2 linked regions of the Arabidopsis thaliana genome follow. The protein of the gene in region 1 binds, or shares a complex with, the protein of each later gene. Each region holds a gene or a part of one and is shown on either strand. Other genes may lie near its edges.

Region 1 (6,332 bases):
TCTCCCCAACCAAACCGATTCTTAGAAAACGCCGCTGCGGATCGATACTTATCAGGCGTCCGTAAAGGCAATGCTGGATCTGGGTTCTTTGCTCTAGGCTTAGACGGAGTTCTATCAATCTTACTTCCACACTCGTGTTTAGGATTCTTCAATGAATCGTTGCTGGTTAGAGACAAAAGCGAAGCTCGGAGATTTTCAGGAACATTCTCGATTTCGTCATCGTGATTGTCTGAATCTCTACGGGAAAGCTTGGTCTCCTTTGACATTGTATTACCCTAATCTGAAACAAAACCCAGTTCAAAATTTATGAAATCGACACACGAGAAATGATAAGTTTAGAAACTTGGAATCCATAGCTAAAGCTAAGAAGCTCGTTGGGTTTAAAGGCTGAAATAGATCTCACCTGTGTAGTAAATTGAGCAACAAAATCCAAAATTTGTCGAGCTTCTAAAGAGTTCGCTCTCTCTCTTTCTCTCTCACTCCCTCTCTCTTTCTAGATTCGCATGATTTGAGCAGTGAAGCAGGACGGAGAAAGGAATGTAAAAGAAAGAAGATGAAATGGACGGCTGAGATTGCATCTTTATGTTTTGTACTTTGAGGCGCTGTTCGAATTTGAATTTGGAAAGGGCTTTCTCACGTAATAAAGTAGGCTTGTAGAGGTTAGTTTCGTAAATGAGAAACCTATTTTCTTTTATTTTTTCAAAAATATTCAAACGGCTAAGACATTGAAAAAAGCAGTAGAGACTAGAGAGGGTCCATTTTAATTCGAATTATCTCGCCTCGTGATTAAAATATATATTTCCTAGCGGCTTATGTCAAAGTTCGAGATAAAATAAAAAAAATAGACTAATTTTGCGTAGGATTTGGTTTGGTTTGGGTCTGTTACTATAAGAATGAAATAAAGAGACTATACAATATACACCGTAACAAGTATATCCTTTAATTTTGTCATATGACAATTATTGTTCTTCTTTTTCTTTTTGGACATGGATAATTATATTTTGTTTCATTTTGGTAAATTAGGGTCCTGTTCGTTTGCCTGTGTTCGTTTGCTTGTCTGTGTTCGTTTGCCTGTCGCTGACGACTGAAACCAGCGACAACGACCAAAAGTTGTTTGTTTGCATAGCGATCAAAAGTAACGACAATCGCCAGCGACCAGCGACCGCAATTTTTGGTCGCTGAAATTTTTAGCGATCAGTCGCTGATTTCAGCGATTAGTCGCTGGTTTTAGTCGCTGGATCCAACGACATGCAAACGAACAATTTAGCGATCAAAAAATATAAATTAAAGAATAATTAAAAATAATTAAATTAAACAGAATTAAATTAAATTAAACTTAAAATAAATGTCTTTTTGCACTCTGAACGGTTGTGTCTTTTAATCGCAACTTTCCGTAAAAAATATTGATGGTTGTTTTTTCTCGCTTGTGTCTTTTATTGCAACCTTCCTATATTGTAATTTTCTGTCAAAATATTTACAGTTATTTTTTCCGGTTAGTTATATATATACTATTGAATAACTACGAAATTTAGAATATGCATCATTTGGAGTTAGATTTGTTTTAAAGAAATTATTATATAAATAAATTTATAATATTTTTCTCTGCGATATCAAGAAAGGTTTGAGTTCTAGTTTAATTAAAATAATTCTTATTAAATTAAGTTAAAATAAATTAAATTCAAATAACATAAACTAATTATAGTCAAATTAAATTTGATAAAACTAAAATAAATAAATCTATTAATTTATTTTTCTCATGGTGTATGATATATATGATTTACATTTTGATTTTAAAATATAAATTAGTACCAAAAATAATTAATTTTAAAAAAAAATATAGCGACTGTTTATAGCGACAGTCAAACGAACAACACAACGACAATTATTAGCGATTGTTGATGTAATTGGTCGCTGAGTCCAGCGACAGACAATCGAACAATATATGTTGTCGCTGGTTGCTGTCGCTGGTCGTTGGTCGCTGTCGCTGGATCCAGCGACAGGAAAACGAACAGGGCATAGGTTTTGTTTGTTTTATTTAGTATTTCTAACGTAAATTTTAAAAAAGCGCCAAAATCTAGAAGAAGAGTAATATGCGAGAAAATCACTTTTACTCTTATTTATTTACTTGTCTTGCCAAATTTCCATCAAAATTATTAATTACTTAATTATATAATTTTTGACTAATTATTTACTTTATTGGACCCGGGATATGTAACTAAATGGGCTTTTATTGGGCTGTATTCTGTGGACCATTAATAAACATAATCTTTGAAGTGCAAAAAAAAAAATGGGACCCGGGACAACTAAATCAGAATCGGGGCGGGTTATAAACTTTTCCCTATAAATTACCACTCCGATGTTAATACCCGCCTCTTTGATCCCTCAGACGATTTCTTCTTTCCGTTGTATCTTCCAATCACCCGATTGAGCTCCGCTTCACTTCCTCCGGCTAAATGTGTACATACTCTCAATTAGGAAACCGCCAATCCCACATAACGTTGAATGTCGTCGTCTCGGTTAGATATCAACGAGGGTTTTGTTCTTGGTTCCTTACTAAACAACAAAATTTGACGAAAATTGGTACTTGGGTATGAACGTTGTTATTCCCTAATTGTACCGGAAAATTTGATGGTGGTATGTTTCCCTTGTAGGTTTTCGTTGAGTCGTGGATTTGTTCTTGCTCCTGATTCTTTTCAGTAGTTCCTTTGCTATTTGGGAAGCAAAATTGTCACGCCACTCTTTGCATTCGAGGGTTTTATTATGTCTGAGTCCAACGACAACGAGACTTCCGCAGGTTATATTTGCAGTTTCTTACATGGTTTCTTCATTAGTGTATTGCATTCTCCTAGTTTTGCTCTAGTCATAATCTACTTATTGTGGGATAATTTATTGCTCAGCGTTTTGAGTTAATTAAATAGAAGGTTTTTATGTTTGAGATTTTGATATACGCAACAAGTCCCACCCATAGCAGTTACAAACTGAAACTATTTGCCACTACCAATTCCCGGTCATCAGCTTCACTGACTTGTGATGATATGTCGTGTAGATTATGGGAGCAATGATGAAGAGTATGATGGGCCTGAGCTTCAAGTAGTTACTGAGGAAGATCACCTACTACCAAAAAGAGAGTACTTATCAGCTGCATTTGCTTTGAGTGGTTTAAATTCCAGAGCTTCTGTGTTTGACGACGAAGATTATGATGAACAAGGAGGACAAGAGAAGGAACATGTACCAGTTGAGAAATCTTTTGATTCAGAAGAGAGGGAACCAGGTTTGCTTTTGAAATTTCCGTTTCTTGAACAAAACGATTAGCACACTCTATTCTCTACTTTTGTTTTGTCATTTCATTAATCTCAGATTGGTTTAGTTTTCTCAACACTTATACTTGTTTAGCTCGGGAAAATAATCTCTTGTTAAGTTGGAGTCCAGTGCGTCATAAATACTAGAGATCAGAACTCTTGGAACTTTTCTTAGATTCCTTTTGTGTTAGTGATTATGAGACACTAAACATTATTTTCGCAGTTGTCTTGAAGGAGGAAAAGCCCGTAAAGCATGAAAAGGAGGCTAGCATCTTGGGAAATAAGAATCAGATGGACACAGGAGATGTCCAGGAGGTCAGCAAGAATGATTTCGGTGTCTCAGATAACATCTTTTTTTGTTGTGGAATGATTTTGTTCTGTTAGTGATCTCATTGAAACGTTCAGGAGTTGGTGGTTGGATTATCAGAAGCTACTTTGGATGAGAAACGTGTCACCCCGCTGCCTACGTTATATCTTGAAGATGATGGTATGGTCATCTTACAATTCTCTGAGATATTTGCTATACAAGAGCCACAGAAGAAACGGCAGAAGAGAGAAATTAGATGTATCACTTATAGAGGTATGTGATCTGCAACGGCTTCCTAATTTTGTTTATTCTCAAAAGCCTTTGAATTTTTTGTGCTTTCCATTGGGATGTTAAAATCTACAACAACAATGATTTCTCAAGATTTTCAGTATCTCCCGTTCAATTCTAAAAGCCATTAGGTGTCGAAAGCATGAGAAGTTTTTTGTATGTGGCTCTGTCTTTTCTTGGCAAGAATTTAGTAGATATGTATATTTGGTGCTTCTGAAATGATATACATTATTTTCTCTGTTTCTCTCGTTATCTCTCTGCATTGTTCTTTTCTGTTTGTAATTCATCACTTCTTTTAATGTAACTAGAATAGCTGAGAAAGTTCTATGAAAACAATTATCATATGAGACTCTTACATCATAGCCTTCTTTGGTACAGACAAATACATATCTATGGATATTTCTGAGCTTATCGAAGACGATGAGGAGGTACTCCTGAAGAGCCATGGTAGGATTGACACTCATGGGAAAAAAACTGATCAAATTCAGCTGGATGTTCCCTTACCAATCAGAGAGCGTTCACAGCTGGTAAAATCTGGCATAGTAAGGGATACTACATCAGAATCGAGAGAGTTTACCAAGCTAGGAAGGGATTCATGTATCATGGGTGAACTGTTGAAGCAGGACTTAAAAGACGATAATTCATCTCTCTGTCAGTCTCAATTAACAATGGAAGTTTTCCCTCTAGACCAGCAAGAATGGGAACATCTAATACTCTGGGAAATTTCTCCTCAATTTAGTGCTAATTGTTGTGAGGGCTTCAAATCTGGACTTGAGTCAGCAGGTATAATGGTACAGGTGAGGGCTTCAAATTCAGTGACTGAACAAGAAAGCTTAAATGTGATGAACTCTGGAGGGCAAACTCAAGGGGACAATAACAACATGCTCGAGCCTTTTTTTGTAAATCCGTTGGAGTCTTTTGGCTCAAGAGGTTCCCAGTCTACAAATGAGTCCACTAACAAAAGTAGACATCATCCACAACTCCTTAGATTAGAATCTCAGTGGGATGAGGATCATTATAGGGAAAATGGCGATGCTGGACGGGAGAATTTAAAGCAGCTTAATAGTGACGCTCGTGGGCGCTTGAGTGGACTTGCATTGCAAGATAGGGATATGTGGGATGAGTCATGGTTAGATAGCATAATATGGGAGTCAGATAAAGATTTGAGCAGGTCTAAACTAATATTTGATCTTCAAGATGAGCAAATGATCTTTGAAGTTCCGAACAATAAGGAAAGAAAATATCTTCAACTTCATGCTGGATCTAGGATTGTATCTCGATCTTCAAAATCCAAGGACGGATCCTTTCAAGAAGGCTGTGGATCAAATTCTGGGTGGCAATTCAATATTTCTAATGACAAATTCTATATGAATGGGAAAAGCGCTCAGAAACTGCAAGGAAATGCTAAGAAATCTACCGTACACAGTTTGAGAGTTTTCCATTCGGCACCAGCGATTAAATTGCAGACGATGAAGATCAAATTGAGCAAGTAAGTGAGTCATTTGAATTTTTACATCTTATTGTATTTGTACGCTTCATTGTTACATTCGTGTGTGGTCTCAATGTTGCCACTGGATATATTTTTTAAATACATTTTTTTAGTGGTTTATGTTAAAAAGTTTTGATTTAACTCATTGCAGTAAAGAGAGAGCAAATTTTCACCGGCCCAAAGCTCTGTGGTATCCACATGACAATGAGCTAGCCATAAAGCAGCAAAAAATTTTACCCACCCAAGGTTCCATGACAATTGTTGTTAAGAGTCTGGGGGGTAAAGGATCACTGCTAACCGTCGGCAGAGAGGAATCTGTCTCTTCTTTAAAAGCCAAGGCTTCTAGAAAGCTAGGTTGTTTGTTTTCCTTTCATTTTTTGTCTACCCCATTATGACATGGATTCTATTTGGAGAACATGCTGTACTATTCACTTGCAAATCTTAGAGCTCATTTGCTACAATTGTGTTGCAGATTTTAAGGAAACAGAAGCAGTGAAGATGTTTTATATGGGGAAGGAACTTGAGGATGAAAAGTCTCTTGCTGAACAAAATGTTCAACCCAATTCCCTTGTCCATCTTTTACGTACTAAGGTGCATCTGTGGCCATGGGCACAAAAGCTTCCTGGCGAAAATAAATCTTTACGACCTCCTGGGGCTTTCAAGAAGAAATCTGACCTATCTAATCAAGATGGCCATGTTTTCTTGATGGAGTAAGAGAATTTCTATATGAGACTTACCTGTCAAATTTGGAACTTTTGTTTTGTTACTTTATGGCTCTTGTAGTTATCTTGATCTTTGTCTATAAGTCACCGTTACTTTTCATTAATCTGAGTAGGTATTGTGAAGAGAGGCCGTTGATGCTCAGCAATGCAGGAATGGGTGCAAATTTGTGCACGTATTATCAGAAGTCATCCCCAGAGGATCAACATGGGAACTTGCTGCGCAATCA
Region 2 (5,871 bases), on another chromosome or scaffold:
TTGGCGGTACAGCCATCAGTGTCTTTCTTGGCAAGGTACAACAATGCCTCGTTAAGCAGTGTGATTGTCTCTATTCTGTTCCGCTTCAGATTTTGGCTTTGTTGCATTAACATTCCCTCTTGTGTTCAGGGACTAGTGAATCTCAACTTTCTACAAGAGAAGAAAGAGGCTGACTTTCGTTACAGCCTTGTACGAGTGAGGGAAAATGCTGAATCTATTGCTTTCTATGGAGGCGAACAGAATGAAATGCAGCTTCTGCTTCAGCGTTTCAGAAGCGCTTTTGATAATTTAACTGTAAAATTTCTCGAGCTTTCTTATCCATTTATATATATATCTATAGATTGCACAATAAATTACATTCAATTTTTTCACCTGCAGGAATTGCTGATAGCATCTAGAAACCTAGAATTCTTCACCGATGGATATCGCTACCTCATTCAGATTCTTCCAGTTGCTGTTGTTGCCCCAATGTATTTCTCCGGGAAGATTGAGTTTGGTGTCATTAACCAGTCAGTGTCTGCATTCAATCATATCCTAGGAGACTTCTCGCTCGTTGTCTATCAGTTTCAAGCTATCAGCTCTTTTTCTGCTGTCATTGATCGACTAGGTAGATTAATTATGTATTCTGCACTCTCTTTTAATGTTCTATATATATACTACTTGTTGCTTACAGATCACACAAGACCTTAGATCAATACCGAACAACATTAGACGCAGAATATGCACATCACCATAATTTCTGTTACCTGATGGTGAGAAATAGATATTTTAGTAGTAGGGTTTTGTTTAGAATATCGAAGAGTAGAAGTTGCAGTGTGTCGCTGTAGTTAGTTATTTTCTTGTGTTATAACAGTATAGAGTGTGGTGTATAGTAGGATTTTGATAAGAATATATAGATAATAGTTAGACTGTATAGTAGTAAGATTTTGTTTATAATATCTAAGAGTGAATACCCGGAAAAAAATGCGGGTGTAACCGTTGAGAGTGTGATGGGCAGACAAAAAGATCGAGTCAGCTGTTCACTTTCCTGCTTAAAATTGGGTCTAAATTATGTCTTATGTACAACATATTCACAAAGTTTCATTGTTTCTGCAAATCAACTTCTACGGCTAAATGAAAAACTGCATTTGCTGTAGGTTGGGATTCTCCTTTTACGCATCTAACAATATCAAGACTTCTTCCAACACAGGTGAATTTGATGATCTTTTGGATAACAACATCTTCAGAGATCCATCTGACACTGTGGACGAGATTGAGCTGACATATCAGAGTGAGATGAACTCTTCACTGCTGGACACCAATGGTTCAATCAAGTCCCAACCGAACCAAAAGCGTCTGGAGATCGAGGAGCTTACTCTTCAGACACCAACAAACGGAACCACATTGGTTCACAACTTATCTGCAGATGTATATGACAAGGATCACCTACTGGTTAGTTCACTTTGACTACTTGTGTTTAAAGCATGTGACTGGTAGATTGGAAGTTACTTAAAAATGCCATTTAACAGATAATGGGTCCTAGTGGGAGTGGAAAAACTTCGCTGCTAAGAGCAATGGCTGGTCTTTGGAGGTCAGGGAAAGGAAAAATCACGTTCTACCTCGATCCTGAGGTAGATTTTACACAGGAGAAATCTGATACTCAGGAAAATTCAGGGAAAAGAGGAGACGTATTGTTCCTTCCACAAAGGCCTTATATGGTTCTGGGATCTTTGCGTCAGCAATTGCTTTATCCTACCTGGAGTGCAACTGTGGAGGAGACGACACCTGGTGGCAGTAATATTGACGGTACTCAGTTTAAATTTGTGTCTAGTAACAACCATTTCTTTCAACTCCATTTAAGTTTATGCAAGCAGATTATAGAACCCAAAAGCAAATCGACTGAAGAAAAAATGCGTTGATTTTGTTAGGTTCACCACCTCTGCTGATTAGAGAGGACGGAAATGAAAAGCCGACAACAGATGATCTGATGCGGACTCTAGAGAAGGTTTGTCTTGGACATATAGCGGATCGCTTTGGTGGTCTTGATTCGATACACGAGTGGTCCAGTGTTCTCTCACTTGGTGAGCAGCAGCGCCTTGCCTTTGCACGGTTATTGCTGTCTCAGCCAAAGCTGGCGCTCCTGGATGAATCCACCAGTGCGTTGGATGAAGCTAATGAGGTACTTGTTGGTTCTCCTCTCATCTATCATTTAGAATAATATCATGTACATGTAGCGTTGAGCCATTAAAATTCCTCTTGATGCCCAGGCGTTCCTGTACCAGCAAATCCAGTCGGCTGGCATTACATATATAAGCATTGGCCACCGCCGGACTTTAACGAAATTCCATAACAAGATCTTACAAATCTCAACGGCAGACCCGAAGAGCAATGAACGTAACTGGCGAATAGAGGACGTGGATGCCCAAGATTCTTTGTACGGTAGATTGAATCAAAAGGAGGTGCCAAGTGAAAGCTGATCAAAACCTGATTGATTACATAAGAGACAGAAGCAGCAGGTAAATCTGCAAACGGGTGTCATGAAACATATAAGAAACATGTTTGGTGTCCATTTTGTATATAATCTACCAGACTTGACGTTGACTGAAGATGCAAGTAAATAGAGAGATTGATACAGATACGAGTGCAACGAAGTTCTGATTAAAAATAACACGCGAGATGAGCTAAAAATTCAAAACCGGCTGAGTATTTATCATAAGCCCAATAAATCTAACGATGGGCCCATTTGAGAAAGCCTGATAGAGTGAGAAAATGTAACACGACTGACTCGACTCAGTCGCTCAAAGTCGAAAAAGAAAGAAGGCGCAAGGAGGATGGTGACGAAAGAATCCATTGAAGTGATAGCTCAGAGCATTGGACTCTCCACTCTTTCTCCGGACGTCTCAGCCGCTCTTGCTCCCGATGTCGAGTATCGCGTCCGAGAGGTCATGCAGGTATATCATCAACTTCAACTTTACTTTTGCCCTCTAATCTCCTCTTTAACTTGTCGTCGCAATCTCCAGGAAGCTATCAAATGCATGCGTCATGCTCGACGCACCACTTTAATGGCTCATGATGTCGATTCTGCTCTTCATTTCAGGAATTTGGAGGTTTCCTCTTCCTCTCTTCTTCTTTTATTTCATACCGTTGACCCTGATTTTGACTTTTTTTTGTATAGCCTACCTCTGGCTCCAAAAGTATGCGGTTCAAGAGAGCTCCTGAGAACAGAGATCTATACTTCTTCGATGACAAAGATGTCGAGCTCAAGAATGTAAGCTTCATTGATTGGCCATGAATGAAGAAGATGGTGAAATGTTGTTTATTGTTATTAAGCTTCCCTTCATGGTCTCTTGTGCAGGTTATCGAAGCTCCTCTACCAAATGCACCTCCTGATGCATCTGTTTTCTCATTGGTTGGCAATTGATGGTATTCAACCTTCCATTCCACAGAATTCTCCTCTCCAAGGTATTTCTTTTGTCTTCTTTTGCATCACCTACTACTTCTCCTTCTAATCCCTCTTCCATGACAATTTGTAGCCATATCTGACCTTAAACGATCGGAATATAAGGACGATGGCTTGGCTGCTAGACAGGTGCTTTCTAAGGACCTTCAGGTTATTTTACTCCCTTCTTTTTTTGGGTCTTTACCTCGCTCTTTGAATGCTATATAATCCTTGCTTGCTCTCGATGCAGATTTACTTTGACAAAGTCACGGAGTGGGCTTTGACTCAATCTGGCTCCACCCTCTTTAGACAAGCACTCGCCAGCTTGGAAATTGATCCTGGACTCCACCCATTAGTTCCCTTTTTCACTTCTTTCATCGCTGAAGAGGTTTGTCTTTGTAATCCAACACTTCTAGTCTTGACTTTTATTCTAACTTGACCACATTTTCACTACTTTTTTTGTGCTTGCAATTTCTCCAGATTGTCAAAAACATGGATAATTATCCAATCTTGTTGGCTTTGATGCGTCTTGCTAGAAGCCTCCTTCATAACCCTCATGTACATATTGAGCCATATGTAAGTTTTGTGCGCACACTTTTTTTTTGTTTTTTTTTGTTTCTCTTCTCCCTTCTCCTCCTTCTGTTGACTTTTAACTTGTTGTATTCTGTTCAGCTGCATCAGTTGATGCCGTCTATTATCACTTGCCTTATTGCCAAGCGCTTAGGAAGAAGGTCATCTGATAATCACTGGGACTTGAGAAACTTCACTGCCAGCACAGTTGCTTCAACGTGCAAAAGGTTAATGTTACATTCTTGCTTTGTGATTTCATGCATCTTATACAACCATATAACTTGCAATCACATTAGTGAACTTTTTACAGGTTTGGACACGTTTATCACAATTTGTTGCCACGTGTCACAAGATCACTGCTTCATACCTTTTTGGACCCAACCAAGGCACTCCCACAACACTATGGGGCAATTCAAGGGATGGTAGCCCTTGGGCTTAATATGGTACTTCCTCTTGATGCTTCTTGATTATCATAACGAAGAGTAGCACTTTAGGTTGTGCGTCTAGAATTTTTACATAAGAAAGCATAAGTTTAAAACTAATAGTAGCATGATCCGACATCCTCGATAAAGTTATTAAACCTGCAATTGAACCTTAAGATATATATCCTTTGGTCGTCCGTAAGTATTTTCTTGCTTTATACCTTTGTCTAGGTTCGCTTTCTTGTTCTCCCAAACCTAGGGCCGTATTTGCTGCTTCTTTTACCTGAAATGGGACTTGAGAAGCAGAAGGAAGAAGCTAAGAGGCATGGGGCTTGGCTTGTTTATGGAGCGTTGATGGTGAGTATGCTTTCTAGTTTGATACAGAAATTAGAAAACTTGTTTGCTTTCAATCTCGTGTTGCAAAACAGGCAGGAGAGCATATAAACTTTAACTTTCCATAGGTGGCAGCTGGTCGATGCCTATATGAACGGCTTAAAACATCTGAGACACTGCTGTCTCCTCCAACTAGCTCTGTCTGGAAGACAAATGGAAAGCTCACCAGCCCCAGGCAAAGTATAAAATCTGGTCTCATTCTTTTTTTTTCTTTTGGCGTTCTAAACACGGAGATACGCGTTCTTAAATAATTTTTTTCTTCGGCCAAGGTAAACGCAAAGCAAGCAGTGACAACTTAACTCATCAACCACCACTGAAGAAGATAGCAGTAGGGGGAATTATACAAATGAGCTCCACACAAATGCAGATGCGCGGAACCACAACAGTCCCTCAACAGTCCCACACAGATGCAGATGCACGGCACCACAATAGTCCCTCAACAATTGCTCCGAAGACTTCAGCTGCTGCAGGCACTGACGTCGACAACTATCTCTTTCCTCTTTTTGAGTATTTTGGTGAGAGCATGCTTATGTTCACCCCCACACATGAGCTCAGTTTCTTCTTGTAATAGATTATTGACATGGTAATTGTATGTACCACAATAAATACATCTATATAATATTTCGAAATGTCTTGGAAATCGTCAACTTTATAGTGGGCATTTTGCGAGAGGTAAAATCAACCAGTGTTAATCTTACATAGACATATGTGTACTCTAATTATAGCTTGGCCTGGACCACAAATACACATCTTTTCCATGCTACTCCCCATCTCCATCTCCATCTCCACTATTAGTTGTGAAGAACGGAGTCAGAAAGTTTTTGTCCAACGCGGTGAATGATGTAGTGCTGCAAAGTTTTGTCAAGTGAGTCCCAAAAAATTGCAAATATCGCTTTTTACTCAGGAAAACATACTAAGCCATTCTCTTATTCTTACGTTTTGTGAAACTCCTTCAGCTTCATCTTGAACCTGCTTCCTGATGATGATGTATCCTCGTCAGATGAAGCTCCAATGCTAAAAGGAGGAGGGACATACTGATGATCGCTCTCTTCAAAGCCCTAACCACGT

What was found. The genes of interacting proteins can lie anywhere in the genome.
Region 2: HAF2 (region 1) and TAF6B share a complex: the UniProt entries of both Arabidopsis thaliana proteins name them as parts of the TFIID complex.

The regions. Positions count from the first base shown.
Region 1 is NC_003074.8:6,571,981-6,578,312, reverse strand, and holds the start of HAF2 (histone acetyltransferase of the TAFII250 family 2), read left to right. Parts: upstream 1-2,699; 5' UTR 2,700-2,760; coding exon 2,761-2,794; intron 2,795-3,030; coding exon of another isoform or gene 3,031-3,046; coding exon 3,047-3,271; intron 3,272-3,522; coding exon 3,523-3,614; intron 3,615-3,704; coding exon 3,705-3,879; intron 3,880-4,272; coding exon 4,273-5,383; intron 5,384-5,534; coding exon 5,535-5,737; intron 5,738-5,855; coding exon 5,856-6,093; intron 6,094-6,218; coding exon 6,219-6,332. Other genes in the region: POK2 (phragmoplast orienting kinesin 2), read right to left, coding at 1-266. UniProt on the Arabidopsis thaliana protein: TAFs are components of the transcription factor IID (TFIID) complex that is essential for mediating regulation of RNA polymerase transcription. Core scaffold of the TFIID complex.
Region 2 is NC_003070.9:20,287,790-20,293,660, forward strand, and holds TAF6B (TBP-ASSOCIATED FACTOR 6B), read left to right. Parts: upstream 1-2,810; coding exon 2,811-2,930; coding exon of another isoform or gene 2,931-2,999; coding exon 3,000-3,247; intron 3,248-3,334; coding exon 3,335-3,441; intron 3,442-3,512; coding exon 3,513-3,589; intron 3,590-3,668; coding exon 3,669-3,806; intron 3,807-3,898; coding exon 3,899-3,994; intron 3,995-4,090; coding exon 4,091-4,215; intron 4,216-4,298; coding exon 4,299-4,431; intron 4,432-4,641; coding exon 4,642-4,767; intron 4,768-4,871; coding exon 4,872-4,983; intron 4,984-5,072; coding exon 5,073-5,371; downstream 5,372-5,871. Other genes in the region: ABCD2 (ABC transporter family protein), read left to right, coding at 1-35, 130-294, 379-607, 1,190-1,431, 1,509-1,785, 1,908-2,158, 2,247-2,456; NHX5 (sodium hydrogen exchanger 5), read right to left, coding at 5,564-5,651, 5,740-5,861. UniProt on the Arabidopsis thaliana protein: TAFs are components of the transcription factor IID (TFIID) complex that is essential for mediating regulation of RNA polymerase transcription. Not redundant with TAF6.